2 linked regions of the Canis lupus familiaris genome follow. The protein of the gene in region 1 interacts with the protein of each later gene in a pairwise test. Links are inferred from orthologs where the notes say so. Each region holds a gene or a part of one and is shown on either strand. Other genes may lie near its edges.

What was found. The genes of interacting proteins can lie anywhere in the genome.
Region 2: the proteins of RIC8A (region 1) and SH3GLB1 interact in binary tests that used the Homo sapiens proteins (3 or more experiments, as listed by UniProt). The link is inferred for Canis lupus familiaris from reciprocal best matches to the Homo sapiens genes RIC8A and SH3GLB1.

Annotation. Positions count from the first base shown.
Region 1 is NC_049239.1:25,716,241-25,723,899, forward strand, and holds the end of RIC8A (synembryn-A), read left to right. Parts: coding exon 1-100; intron 101-542; coding exon 543-634; intron 635-1,156; coding exon 1,157-1,307; intron 1,308-2,332; coding exon 2,333-2,428; intron 2,429-2,510; coding exon 2,511-2,655; intron 2,656-2,727; coding exon 2,728-2,872; intron 2,873-3,267; coding exon 3,268-3,387; intron 3,388-3,800; coding exon 3,801-3,921; 3' UTR 3,922-4,590; downstream 4,591-7,659. Other genes in the region: SIRT3 (NAD-dependent protein deacetylase sirtuin-3, mitochondrial), read right to left, coding at 5,637-5,657, 7,030-7,239.
Region 2 is NC_049227.1:62,002,132-62,009,550, reverse strand, and holds the start of SH3GLB1 (endophilin-B1), read left to right. Parts: upstream 1-2,135; 5' UTR 2,136-2,432; coding exon 2,433-2,504; intron 2,505-3,074; exon of another isoform or gene 3,075-3,341; intron 3,342-7,419. UniProt on the Homo sapiens protein: May be required for normal outer mitochondrial membrane dynamics. Required for coatomer-mediated retrograde transport in certain cells. May recruit other proteins to membranes with high curvature. May promote membrane fusion.

The DNA.
Region 1 (7,659 bases):
CCCGGAGCTTCTTCCTCCCCAGGAGACCGAGCGGGCCATGGAGATCCTCAAAGTGCTCTTCAATATCACCTTCGACTCCATCAAGAGGGAGGTAGACGAGGTGAGGACTGACTTGAGCCCACAGGTAGGGCTTAACGGTGTGGACACTTGCTGGCTCTGTTTGCCTATAGCGAACTCGTAGGTTCCAGGTATCAGACGGGGAGAGGACGGGAAGAGCTCTCAGCCTATTGGGAGGAGGCAGGGAGCTGTACATCATGTACAGGGGCCTTCAGAGACTGTCTGAGAAAGGCAGAGGGCATACCTGGCACTTGCAGCCTGGTAGGAGGGCTGTTTGGTACATGGAGAGGTCACGAGCAGGACACTAGAGTAGGTTGTGATTTTTATCCCAGGAAGACCTGGTAATGGTCTTGGTTAAGGAAATGCTTTCAAGGCTACGTGGGGGAGGACGAGGGGTTGGGCACACAGTAGAGAAAATGCATAGTCCGTGCATGTGATCCCAGAGTGGGGCCTCCTCTCACAGGAACCCCTTTCTTTTTGGTCAGGAAGATGCGGCCCTTTATCGGCACCTGGGGACCATTCTGCGGCACTGTGTGATGGTCGCTGCTGCTGGAGACCGCACAGAGGAGTTCCACGGGTGAGGGTGGGGCCCGTTCAATGGAAGGGAAGTGTGCTCAGGGGTCTAGACAGTAGTTCTCACCCTGGCTGTCGGCTAGGCTTCCCCCTGGAGAGGCTTCACCTACAGGGGTGGGATTTCCATCAGTGTGTGTCTATGGTAAGGGGCTAGGACAAGAGAAACGAATCCAAGAACGGTATCTGTGTCTGCAGTGGAGTTAGTAGTAACCAACCACGTGGTAGTTAGCGAGTAACTGCTGAGTTCTGTTTCGGCGACTTGTGCCTGGGCAGGTTCTGGCGCTCCAGAGATTGTCCGCGGGGCTTCAACCCAGACGGAGCGTGCCCCCTTTCTTAGGAACTCACCCCACCGACTATGTGGGAACATCTCTAGGGTCAGTCTCACCCTCAGTACCGGCCCCTGGTTCTGGTCATCAAATCCCTAGATGCTAGTTCAAGTCACATGCGGCCTCTTTAGGGGGCAGCAAGGCTTGTACTTATGCTGGGGGGTCGGACCTATCAAGCCCTCCTCCTGATCTGTCCTCAGCCACACAGTGAATCTCCTGGGGAACTTGCCCCTCAAGTGTCTGGACGTCCTCCTTACCCTGGAGCCACACAAAGGCTCCCTGGAGTTCCTGGGAGCGAACATGGATGTGATTCACGTCCTTCTCAGCTTCCTGGAGAAGCGTCTGCACCAGGTGGGCAGAGGGACCTGACCTGTGGGGTCCTCAGTGGCTCTGACTTTCCCAAGCAGCCTTGATCACTGCTTTTTTTACGGTCACACTGGTAAGCAGAGTGTGATTCAGGCCATTTCTCCAGCTGCTTCGTGGTCCAGTTTGGCAGAAAACCAGATTCTACCTCCCTCAGAAACACGTGGCCCCTCTCACACGCACACACTTGAAGGTTTTACCTGTGCTGGTTATCTTGACGGGTTTTCAGAGTCAACAGCGGAGTTTGTGTCTTAGAGCTGTTTGTGGCTGTCTCTAGAATCCTTGCCTGTGCCGTCAGAGCACTAGCATTGCTGTGTGCAGGCAGCCCTCGGGACGAGTGACACTTGTCTCTTGGCATCCCTTGGGGAACCCACCACCACCTCGAGCCAGAGGCTGCCTGGTTCCCATGCCTGCACACAGGACGTTGGCCAGCTAGACCTCCAACCAGCCCCTCTGGGATACTGCAAAGCAAGATGGAGTGAGATTAGTTGTCACGTTGCTCACGTGCGCTATGAGCTGGGTCCCTTGCATTGCACATCATGGTTGTGACTGCTTCTGCCACAACCCGGGGTGGGGGGGGGTGGTCCAGGGAGGTCACTGGGCGGGGGGGAAGCCGGGGAAGGACAGGAGCTCTTTGCTCACTGGGTCCATGAAGCCCACAGGGTAGGGATTTTGTTTTTGCGTTTTGGTCACTATTTTTTGAGGACGGGTCACGTGCCACTGGTGTGCTAACGGCTACGAATGTTTTGTGTTTTCCCTACGACTTTGGTGTGTGGGTGAGGAGGTTAGAGCAGATGAGTGGCCCCAAGTCCCAGAGCACACGAGAGCCCTAAGTGCAGTTCCATCCGCGGCCCCTTGAGGCTCCCAGACGCCCAACGCCCACTCTTGGCCCCTCAGCTGACTAACTGTGGCAAGGCGTCTTCCCGAGCGCCTCCTGCCAGGACCATCCAGTGTGCGCGTGTAGCCCCCTGACCTCAGGTCAGGTGGGGGCGGTGACAGAGGCTCCTCTGCAGACGCACCGGCTGAAAGAGAGTGTGGCCCCCGTGCTGAGCGTGCTGACGGAGTGTGCTCGCATGCACCGCCCGGCCAGGAAGTTCCTGAAGGCCCAGGTATGGGGGCTAGGGGCCAGGACGGAACTCTGGTCAGACCCCAGCCGCTCCAGGCCCAGGCTGAGGGACGGCTGCCTCCCAGGTGCTGCCCCCACTGCGGGACGTGAGGACTCGGCCTGAGGTCGGGGAGCTGTTGCGGAACAAGCTTGTTCGCCTCATGACGCACCTGGACACTGACGTGAAGCGAGTGGCCGCGGAGTTTCTGTTTGTCCTGTGCTCTGAGAGTGGTGAGTGCTGGGATCTGCCCCCACACCTGCCCCTCGCCACCTTCACACACTGACCTCTGCCCTGCCCCTCAGTGCCCCGATTCATCAAGTACACTGGCTACGGAAATGCTGCCGGCCTCCTGGCTGCCAGGGGCCTCATGGCAGGCGGCCGGCCTGAGGGCCAGTATTCGGAGGACGAGGACACGGACACAGATGAGTACAAGGAAGCCAAGGCCAGGTGTGTGCTCCTCCACCCTTGGCTGCCCTCACTTGGCCTGGTCCCAGTTCCCACACCCACAGGGTCCCGCAGGGTGAGTGGGACGGGATGACAGATGTGTCAGACTTTGGGGAGTCAGGCCTTGGTTCTTGGTATCAGGTTATTCCATTGAGAACATGGGCTGCAGGAGCCAGGCAGTTAGGGGACCAGCAGATCCAGGTGGCAGGAGCTGGTTCACTGCTGCTCCTGGAGGGAGGCCCCTGCAGCCACCTTGCTTCTTGCCATTCCTAGGAGAATGGGTTTCTTGGCAGTCCAGGCCCAAGCAGGATGTGTAGGACCCCACCCAGCCGGGGCAGCTGCCTCTTGTTCTAGAGAGGCACTCATGCATTCCCTATGCCCCCTCCCCTGGGAAGCAGCATAAACCCGGTGACCGGGAGGGTGGAGGAAAAGCCGCCCAACCCCATGGAGGGCATGACGGAGGAGCAGAAGGAGCACGAGGCCATGAAGCTGGTGAACATGTTTGACAAGCTCTCCAGGTACGTGGTGTGGTGAGGAGGGGCCCCTGGCGGGGAGAAGGGAGAACAGAATCCCAGGCCCGGGTCCAGCCTAGTGAGCTGCAGGGGGTGGGGTCAGTGACGGGCTTATGCAGGGCTGCCTCACTCAGGTTGGAGACAAAGGAAACGCCTCAGGAAAGGATTAGATTTGAGGTTGGTATTACGTTTATCTCATAGATGAGATGAAAATTGAGACCTAGAGAAATTAAGAGACTGTGTAAGGCCCCAAAGCCACCAGGTAGTAGTTGGGACTCAGGCGTGTCTGACACAAGTTCCCACCCTGGCTTCCCTAGTAAACGGGAGCAGCTTGGAGCACATGCACGGAGCCAGGGGTAAGCGGGACTGCCTCACCTGCCGGGCCTCTCCCCCAGCCTCACCATGTTCTTCCCTCGCAGGCACAGAGTCATCCAGCCCATGGGGATGAGTCCCCGGGGTCAGCTGACGTCTCTGCAGGATGCTATCTGTGAGACCATGGAAGGGCAGCTCTCCTCGGAACCTGACTCAGACCCCGACTGAGGACAGCCAGGCTCTGGTTCCCCCTTCAGAACTGGTGCTGCTTCCAGAGATGTCCTTGGGACTGTGACCCGGGGAAACCATGTCCCTCTCCAGCTCAGAGATCCCTCTCTCTCTTTACCTCCAAAGTTCTGTTAATGATTTGTTTCTGGTCCGGTTTCTTATCTTTAGGACTGTGAGGGTCTGGTCCTGCTGCGACTCTGGGAACTCAGCCTTGATTTCTACTGATGAAGTGGCCTCGGGTGTATGCCAAGAGGATGGGGGCAGAGGCTGAGTGTGGGCACACCCAAGCATGTCCCAGTCTGGCATGCCTGCCTAGAGCTTCCACAGCAAGCAAGTGCTGCAGTTCACAGGAAAAGAGCTTGCCAGAACTGTACACACTAAGGACAGAAACATACATCCAAGGTATGCGCTGCTACTTCTGTCCCCACTGAGCTCAGGACTGGTAGCCTCTTCCGCATCCTAGGTCCTCGCTCAGCCGTCTGCTCTAGTATCCACAGCACCCAAGCGCTCACCGCTTGTGACAGTGGAGTCCTGACCTTCCCACTGGCGTAGACCATAAATACATGAGGAAAATGTACCTTGTAAAACCCTAAGTCTGGATTTCTATCACGTTCCACAAAGCATCCTAGAAACACCATCTTGGAATAAAGAGTTTCAAGCAGGAGCCTATGTATGAGGAATTAATTTCATTCCTTTCAGAATTCAGCCCTTTTTCTACAACATTAGTCACATCTGTTTTTGAGGAGTCTGTTAAGTGTGCCACGGGCAGGGAAATGATGCCCAGCATGAGGGACCACACACAGGGTAAGAGCCAGCGATCAGGAAGGTGTGCCTGAGTGGTGCTGTCCAAGCTGGGCCTTGCGGCAGCCCCAGCACAAGAAACCTCAACAGGAGCAAGAAGTGCGGGGTGAGCCAGGGGCCAGCTGAGGTTTTCTCAGAAACGCCTTCCACCACATAGAGGTTAATCCTGGGGGCGTTACTGGGAAGGCCTGCTGGGGAAGCTGAGGGGGAGGCATCCAGGTAGAGTGAACAAGGTACGACGCCCTTCAATGAGGAGTGCTGGGGCTCTGTGGGAAACGGCACTAGGCCCCACTCCAGGGTGAATCCAGGGGCATGTTCTCCATCCTTGAGTTATTCCAGTGGGGAGGAATGTCCACACACGCCCAAGGTCCCCTTTCTACATCCATTGTCAACACTCACATTCCCTTTGAGGAGACCACAGTGTTTATTTCATGCCAAAAATGAACAATGTTTCCCTAATTAAAGATAACCCCACAAAAGAGGCCAACAGGCTATAGGACCCTATTGTATTACTTCGGACCCAGGACCACGCCTTGGGAACAGCTGTGGCCACTCAGCCCAAGACCAGGTCTAAGGGACAGAGGCTGAGTCTGCCCTTCGGATGGAGACCTGGACACTGAGCAGATTCAGTCTGGGCTTCCTGCTGGTCTGAGTTCAAGAGGGTCACTGTCAGAAGAAAGCTTTTGTTTGGCATCAAGAGCTTCAGATTGAAGAGTCAAACAGCAGAAAGATGCCGGCAGCTTGGCACCCATGATTGGGGTGGCCCACAGCGTGAGCAGAACACGACTTGGGCAGCCTCACACTCTTCCTCAGGCCACCGGTCCTGGTTCAGCCAAAATTGTTTACTCAGAGGTGGGCAGTGACTCCTTGGAACCGTTTCTGTTCCCAGGAGGGGTGGGGGACCAGCCATGATCCTATCCGTCCCGTCCATCGAGCTGGAACATGGAGGAGAAAGGGAATCAGTCCTGTAGATCTCAGGGCCTGGGTTCCAACTATTTAATCAAATAAAAGCTTTTCTGCCTCTGCCAATGCTGCCATTGAGCCCAAGTAACACGATGCCAGCAGGGCTGGGCGGCAAAACACAGGGCTTCATTTAAGTAACCAGGTGAGATGTGCTGAAGCTCACAAGCTCAAAAATAGGCATTATTTGTGGAATTAACCCCAAGGTGGACTGCAGTTCATCCCTCGGTATTTCCTATTGGATAGCAACTCTTCGTATGCGTAAACCAAAACCAGAACCCACTTTACATAAAATTATAAAGATTTTAATTACATCTTCACATAAGATTATAAAATCGCACAGACCAAAGTCTGTAGGACTTCTTCCAAAAGTCCTTGGGGGCCACTTGGCTTAGTCTTGTACGGAAATAGGACGTCAGAGCCAGGAAGCTGCTAGGTGGATCTGACCAAAGCACCCGCTGCCTGTCTTCCTGATGTGCAAAGTATAGGCTCCGGAGCTACCTGCATTCTCTACTTCCCTAAAATGATCCAGCAATATGACTTTGACATTTATAATAAGATAAGGGGTGATACCAGCCTACATCTTAGCCATTAGAGCCAAACTCTGGAATGGAGAGATAGAAAAAATAGCAGCCACAATGTCTAAAATGTGTGGAAGTCTCCTGGCCTTAATAAGCCTTATATTCTTTCTTTGGTTCAACTTGGTAAGAAAGCAGACTGCAGCCAGAGGCTGGGGGCTTCTGCCCGGAAGGGTGAGGGGAAGGCCTGACCCCGGACCCGAGACCCCTGCCCCCCTGGGCGGTGTCACATGAGGATCCTCAGTGATGACTGGACTTCGAAAGCTTAATGCTGCCTCCTTTAGAAAATCAGCACTCACGCCAGGGCCACGCATGCTAACCGATTCTCCTGGGAAACTTCACTTGGAACAGGTTTGGAACCTCAGGAGCACCGAGCGTCTTTGGCTTTGCACCCACAGCGGATCGATACGGGCCAGCAGCTCTCGTGATCATCACAGGAGTGCATTCCCAGGGTGGGCTTCACCCCACACCAGCACACACAAGTTCAGCTCCTCAAAGCTCATCTCCGAGCCACACTCAGCCTGGAGCTAGCTGCTGGCGGTGCTTTACTTAGAGGACCCAGCCGGTCTGCCCGCACCCAACCGCAGCTCCGTCGCTGGGGAACAGGCAGCCAGCGTCGCTCTCATAAGCACACGGACAGCCTCGGACAGTGGCCGGGACTGGGTTAACACCGATGTGCGCTATTCCTGTCACTGTCTTAGCCAGCTAGGGCTCCACATCAGGGGCACCTGGACCCCAGAGCAGCGAGGACCCTGCTTGCAGTCTGTACCTTTTCGGTTTCCTGCTGGATGAGGTCCTGCAGCTCTTCTCTCCAGCCCAGAAGCTCCACCAGCCTTTCCACGCTGTGAACCACATCCCCCAGCTGGACCACATCCCTGCTGCGAGGACACCAGGCAAAGGGCCCCACCACGTCCCGGTTGATGAGCAGTCGGGGCACTGAGCTCCGCACAGCCTCAGACAAGCTGGCGAAAGGTTCTACCTGAAAAATTGCCCACACGTGAGGAGGCCAGCACCCACCCTGTCCTCCAAGCCCCGCAGGACACGTTATGCACAGCCTGAGGCTTTGAAAGAGCAGCTCAGACCGATGGTAAGGCCTTGGATACAGGGCACATACACCACCATTTCCTTCTAGTCACGCAGCCTGCCCGGGCTCTAGGCCTGGGTCCCTCTATGTCTCTGTCCATGTCCTTCTGCTTCCCACACTCCTGGCCTCTGCGGGTCTCCCTGCCCAGGCGCATCTGGGGTCCAGCAACTGCGCCCTCTTTTATCTGTCCTGTCCCACCACACACGTCTCCTCCCAGCAGCATCTCGTCTGTCTGCCCTCACTCCTTGGGAGCAAGGACCTGGGCTCACAGGGGGCTCCTGGGGCACCCACAGGGGTGGATGCCCCACCTCTGCA
Region 2 (7,419 bases), on another chromosome or scaffold:
TGCTAAACATTCAACTTAAAAAATATGTACAGTAAAGCCATCAGAAGTGCTAGCAGAATAGAATGCGCAAGTCCAGGAGGTAGAGGGAAAACCAGGAAATTATAAGGGTCTCTAAAGGAGTGCATCGTTGGAAAGGTGGTGACTAGTCACTGTGAAGTCTGAGAAAAAGCCGATGAGTTAATCAAGAGGATAACTGGCAACCTCAAGAATGCTATTTAGGTATAGTTATAGCAGTGTAAGTCAACTGCATTCAAACAGGGAAGAAATGGATAGTAAGGAAATGGAAGTCTTATGATTTTGTCAGTGAAACAACAGAAACAGTATTATAGCCCGGAAGGGCTCAATAGGAAGAAGTGAACAGTTTGTTGTTGTTTTCAAGTTAGGAAGATCTACATGTTTGAGGAAGAGGATTCAGAATTTTTTCCTTTAATGGTGGACACAGTCTTGTGATCCTAAAATAGAACAATTATGCCATAGATTATGGCAAATATACCTATTGTGAAAGTAGACGTCTAGAAAAAAGTGCTTTTCTATATAAAAATCTAAAATGGACAGTAAGTGAAAAACAAGATTCCTGATTACACATTTCCTTATTTCTGGGAAAACAGATGACAGATACATGAAGTGGTTTCCGTCTTGGAGACTCATTCTTTTGGAGTTACCTTAGAAAGAAGCAGTTGCTTCTGTCACCACCACAAAAAAAAAAAAAAAAAAAAAAAAGAACACGGATATTTTTATATGTATCTGCTGTTCGTTATGTCTTTTAGGAAGTAATCGTTCAGCCTTTAATAACAGCTAGGGCTTCTGAGACTGCTTCAGTAAATCACTTAAGTGCGAACATGGGCTCGTCTCGTTGCCTGCTGGGCCTGCATTTTCCCAGCCCTAATGTCAAAGACACAGCGACAAAAAAAAAAAAAATAACATGGACTGTTTTCTTACTCTTGAAATACTGTCTCTCCCTCTGTGCTAGCACCTATTTTAACTTAATTCAAGCTTAGGCTGTATCATGAAAGATGCTTAGGAAGTTACATGGGATCGTGGGCTCCTGAACAGATTCCGCATCATATTCTCGTTTGTCATTAGAATTCCCCAGGCTGGGGCAGCCCGGGTGGCTCGGCGGTTCAGCGCTGCCTTCGGCCCAGGGCGTGACCCTGGAGACCGGGGATCGGATCCCGCGTCGGGCTCCCTGCCTGGAGCCTGCTTCTCCCTCTGCCTGTGTCTCTGCTTCTCTCTCTGTCCCTCATGAGTAAACAAAATCTTTAAAAAAAAAAAAAAAGAAAGAAAGAATCCCCCAGGCTGGCTGTTAGGGCTTAAGAGTTAATCTATCTCACTCACCACTTTATACTTCTATGTGTCCTCCACCTGGCACTTCGTGTCCCCCGTCACCAGACTTTTGCACATAGGAGGCCTAGAGTGTTGCTCCGGTAATCCAGGCAGTCACAAAGTCCCTGCAGCTGCAAACTGTTAAAAGAGCTTCAGGTGGGGGCGTGAAGACCCGGACGGTTGTCAAGTAACCGAACTGCGAGCTTCTTGCGGCCCGGGACAGTCTTGACCAGCCCCTGCCTCAGTCCTGGTGCACAGAAGACCCCCGATCATGCTGAATCAACAGCCGACTCGGTGGGGACTATAACTTCAACCCTATTCTGCAGCCGGGTGCTACAGCATGACAGCGAACTGCTGGTTCTGATCTCACGGAGGGTGTAATCCGACGCTACAATTTTCCAATTTTCTCTTACAACAAAAAAAGGGGGACGCCCGGGTGGCTCAGCGGCTGAGCGCCGGCTTCGGCCCAGGGCGAGATCCCGGAGTCCCGAGATCGAGTCCCGCGTCGGGCTCCCTCTGCCTCGCTCTCTGGGTCTGTCATGAACAAGTAAATAAATCTTTAGAAAAAAAAGGGGGGGGGGATAATTGGGGTTATCTCTGCTTGCGGTTTCCAGGGGCTTCACCTGCACGCCGACCACAGCCACTCGGCTCTGGAGGCTGCGGCGCGACCTCCCGGCGGCGCCGCGGCCCCAGCTTCCGGCGCGCCCCGCGACTGCGCCGCCGCGACCCAGGAGGGGTCGCTGTTCCCGCGAGAGCCTCTGGAAAGGCTCCACCCCGCGGCGGGCGCCGGCTTCCTCCGCCCGAGGCCCCGCCCCCCATGGCGGATTACCGGCGCGTCAGTGTCCCGCACGCCCCCCGCGGCTGGCGCCGACGCTAACGCTCAGCTCCCAGCGCCTCGGGCTCGGCCGCCGCCCCCCAAACCCCCCCGCCCCCCCCGGGGCGCGCGGCCCGCCCCGAGGCCCTCGCTCGCTCGCTCTCCTCGCCCCACCCTCTCGCTTCCCCTTCGCGGAAACGACAGCTGCGGCGGCGGGCCTGGCGCCGCCTCCCTCCACCTACCACGTCTGCCCCCGCCACTCCCTCCCGGCGCACCAGCCCGGCTGCCGCCCAGCATGAACATCATGGACTTCAACGTGAAGAAGCTGGCGGCCGACGCGGGCACCTTCCTCAGCCGCGCAGTGCAGGTACCGCGGCGGGCGGGGGCCGGGGGCTGGGAGGAGGGGCGGCGGCGCTCTCCGCACCGGTTCCCCCGGGCGGGCGGGCGGGCCTGCGGCCGGAGGCCTGGGTGCTGGGTGCTGGGCGCGGCCTGCTTCCCCTCCGGGGCCCCGCGGCCGTCTTCCAGGCCCCCTGGCGCTCCACCGCCGCTTCTCCGGAAGCGAGGCCGGGTGGGGCCGGGGCCCGGAGCTCCCCCCGCGGCGCTCCCGCCCCGCGGCGCCGGCGCCGGTGCGAGGGCCCTTGGAGCCGCGCGCAGCGGCCGAGGGACGGACTTCCTCGCACCGCCCCCACCTTCCCTCAGGTCGGCCTCGCTCTCGCCGCCGCGTCCCAGAAGTCTCCTTTTCCGTCAGCCGCCCGTCTCCCTGACAGGACGGTCACCGGTGGGCGTCCCGCTCCGCCGAGGCCCCGGGAGGCCCGGCCTTCGGGGGTTCCCGCTCACGCTGAGAGTGGGAAGCAGCGGCGGCTGCCGGACGCGGAGAGGAGCCGGGGGTGGGGGTGGGGGGTGGGGGTGTGGGGGGGGCGCCGTTGTCGCCAGTTCTGCGTTTCAGATGTAGCTCTCTGGCGGCGTTGCGCAGTCAGGGAGGCGTCCGCCCTGGGGACCCGGGGACGGTTTTCCCCCGTCGTCGCCCACATTATGCCGACTCCGTTAAATCTGTGAACAGACGTAGAATTTCACCACAACACGAGTTACAAGCCAGCCGGCGTTTTAAGGCAATGGCATAGTCCCGGCAGAACAACATTCTCCTCTGTGAAGAGAAAACAAAAACTAGTTTTCTGACAGGCCTACCAAAACAGATAACCGCGGTGTAAGTCACGCGTCCGGCGTTTACTACTCTGTCTCCTTTGCCCCCAGTTTTGTTGTTAGAGTTGCTCTTACAGTGCACTGTTCCTGGCGAAATAAATGAAGAAGAAGGAAGAAAAAGGGGGGGGGGGGCGGAATGGAAGAACTAGAGCGAAGTAATAGCTGCTTATGTTGTGGGGAAAAAACTGTCACACAGTTGCAAGGCATTTGACAGATTATCCTATCTAATTTTGCCAGATGTTGTGAGCTCCTATTATATATGAGGAGGCCGCCTCAGAGAGGTTAAGAAACTCGCTTAACTTGCACGGCTAGTAAGCTTGCTGTCTGGTGTGCTGCTGGTTGCAGGCTGCTCCTCTCTTCCAGGGTAGGCTTTGCAGATAGAGAGTAGTAAGAATACAACAGGCTGGAGAGACCTTAAATATCGCCTGGTACTCGAATCTCAGCATTTCAGTCACATTGAAGCAAGTAGCGGTTAAGGCATGCGAAATTCCTTCTTGGTCTTGATTTCTAAATTCTGACATCTGCATAGTAAGTGATAGGCTAGCTCCCCTTTCTCCATGAAAATATAAGCTATGTTGTGAAGACATTGAGTGGAACGGTTAAAATAATTTCTTGATTTAAATTAACCTACTTTGAATAGCTCAGAGACGGAGGGCAAGAGAACGAGTGGTTGAAGGTCTGAAATGAATTTGATATATGAGACTTAATGTAACCTGAAAAGAGGCCCTTGGTGTTGTTTATTTCTGATTCCCAATGATTTTGTTTGCTGAGTGGAGATTTGACATTATGATGACACTGTTTTAAAGACAGGTCTGTTTTCAGGTACATAATCCACCGTTTAAATAGGACACGTGTACTAGAATTTGATTTAAATTGTTGGTAGCCTTTATTTAAAAAATCTAGCAAAGCTCTCAAAAGATGTAGTTCCTAGATGAATTTCAGTTACTCATAGTTTCACATTCTTTAGTTTTTAAAGTCTATGCTAATCTGTTAGCTATCAAATAATTTTCACTATTAAATACTTCTATGCCTATACCGTGTCTGCCTGACACTACTATTTTGGACACTGGTGATAATACCAGTATATAAAATTAGCAAGACATCTGCACTCCTGGAGCTTACAATCAAACAGTAAATACATCAGATGATAGAGAAAAAAGGTCACAGGTGATAAGTTAATGGCGGGGGGGCGGGGGGCGGGTGGTGGTGGCAATTTTTGCCATCTTATTTAGACATAAGATTACGACAAGCCTTTCTAGTAGGATCAAATTCCAAGAGACCTCAAGGAAGTGATAGTTCAGTTTTTTGGAGGAAAAGCACTTTAGGCAGAAGGAAAAAGTCCAAATACTTTGAGGTTCTGGCGTACTAGGGACATCAGTTAGGGAGCTGTAGCCATAGCATAGGCAAAAGGTGATAGAACGTAGGTGAGAGAGATGATATCATAGAAGGTTCAGAATCTTTTCAGTATGGTTCCCAAATTGGCTGTAGGTTAGGAAGGAAAGATGAGTTAAGGATGACTGTAAGGTTTTGGCTTGAGCCATATACTGAGAAGGGATAGATTTCAGGAGGAACAGACTCCTTCAATATGTCTTTTTTACATTAAGTCTGTATCTGTTAGAAATAGTTTCTGAAATATTTATGTATAAACTATAGCATGTCTGAGGATTTCTTTAAATATTCCAGAAGAGAAAAAAGGGGACTAGTTGAAACATTGGCAGAATGTTGACAGTTTTGAAGTTGAGTTTCAATATACTATTACACTTTTGAATGTTTGACATTTTGCACAGTACTGGGGGCTTTTTTATTACGTAAGAAAAAAATTAATTCCAAAATGTAACACGTGAAATTTGGAATGTTGTGTGGTAATTTTCAACAAAAACACTATTTTGTCATTTTAGTATTTAGTCAATAATTGAATTCCCAGTCTAAATTGCATTGACATCCGTATAGTGTCAAGTGCCAAGTTTCATGCTAAGAATAGGGTAAGAGCTATGCCAGTTACTCATTATAAGCAATAAGAACAGAAGGAATGGAATTCAGCTTTCTCATTTCTAAATAATAATTTCTATTCAAATTAAATTATACCTTAAGGAATAGATCATTCTCTGGGTGACCGACTGCCATATCTTTTTTCATTCTACTTAAAAATTTTTAGGTTAGAAACTAAGCATTTTCTGTTTTAAAAAAGAAAAACTATTACACAAATGAGTTTCATCACTCTACTCTCATAACATCTGTTTATATGCCATGCAACTTTGAAAAAATGTTGAGGTAAAAATTATAATCAGTAAGAACATACATTCCTTAACACTCTGTTTGGATGTTTTTGTTATTCTTAACTCCCTCAAAATGATAGAATACAAAAGCATCAGGTAATTTGTCCTCCATAAGTTACTTTATTAGTGTCTTAAAAGCCATTTATTCTTACTATCTGTATTTTTGGTCCAGACGCCTGTGTTGAGCATTATATACTCCTTTCCTGCCTTGTCTTTTCTCTCATATATACTGTATTCCTATCAAATTATTTTTTTAATTTCCAAAATACATTGTACTTTTCTAACGCTAGACTTGACTGGTCTTACAGTCTCATCTTGAATGCCCTCCGACCCCTCCCTCTGTCTTTCCTTCCTTCCAGATAAAACTCCAAGCCCATCTCAGACCACAAGAGCTTGATGTGAATTCCTGTGTTATTTTTCAATTCCGTATGATCATGTGGCACTTTTCTTGGAATGAACTGTTATGTAAAGTCACTTAGAGCTGTAAAATTGTTACTATATGGCTTTCACATCTTTATATTAAGATTGTATGTCCTGAGGAATCAACTTTGTTTCTTCTTTCCCTCTCATGGTATCCAACATTGTTCTTTTAAAATTTTTTATATGATTTTAACCAGGCAGGGTATCTATATGAAAGATACTCTTTGAATCGTGTAGCATGTTAAATAATTTTGTTATTTTTATTAGTATTTTCTAACATTATGTCTGCTGAACTTGAAGTTGACTAATGCCAGTCTAAAAGATTAAACTATTCTCGGGCACCTGGATGGCTCAGTCGGTTAAGCGTCTGCCTTCCACTCGGGGTCCTGGGGATCAAGCCCCAAGTCTGGCTCTCTGCTCAGCGTGGAGCCTGTTTCTCCCGCTCCCTCTGCCTCCCTATCCCTCCCACTCCCCCTGCTTGTGCTTTCTGTCAAACAAATAAAATCTTTAAAAATAAATATTAAACTGTTTAATTCAACCTATATTTATTGAGTACCTCTTGGGTGCTTGGCACTGAAGTGCAAAGATGAATGAGACCTAGTTGTTGCCCTCAAAGACTTAGTAGTCCAGTCCCGGTTTGTCATAATTATTTCTTTTTCTTTGTAATAAATATCCATTTTGTGAAGTACTGTTCTGTTACTTCATTTGATAAATGTTTCAAGTGGACACATTTTTACTTGATATTGAAGCAAATCTGCTCAATGTCTTTAAAATAAGACCATATGCTTTCCAAAATAAAATATTTTCAACTGCAATTACTTAGTTTCTTTTTAATTTTCTAACATTTCCTCTGAACTAACTCCTGAAGTTATACAATGAACTTCATGAGTACGAGCTATTTTCTGAGGGAGAAAAGTCTTTAAAGTTTAGTTGCAAGCTTGGCTTTCATCCTCGATTTAATTTAGGGGAACAATGGTGTGTCTAAGCTGGAGAGGTAAAATGAATATGATGCTGCCCTCCTGTTAGATCCTATCTGGATGGAATTCCTACTTGGCCAAACATTTGCCCAAGCCCTTTTGAAACCCTGTTTCCTTTATGGAATTTAAACTGCAGCAACTTCACCATTCTCTCAAATTCTAATAAATAAAACATGTCACATTTAAAGTCCGTACGTTTACTCATTATGTAAAAACTTTGCATATTTAGTGTTACCCTAAACTTCACATACTTGGGTGTTTTTGGTGTTAAATCTAGTAGACTACTAGATAGAAGATGGTTTGTTAACCTGACGTTAAAATAATCACCTGTGAGCTTAGAATGGTAGTTCTCAGTCTTAGTTGCACTTAAAATTACCAGAGGAATCTTTACAGGCTGCACCCCAGTCTA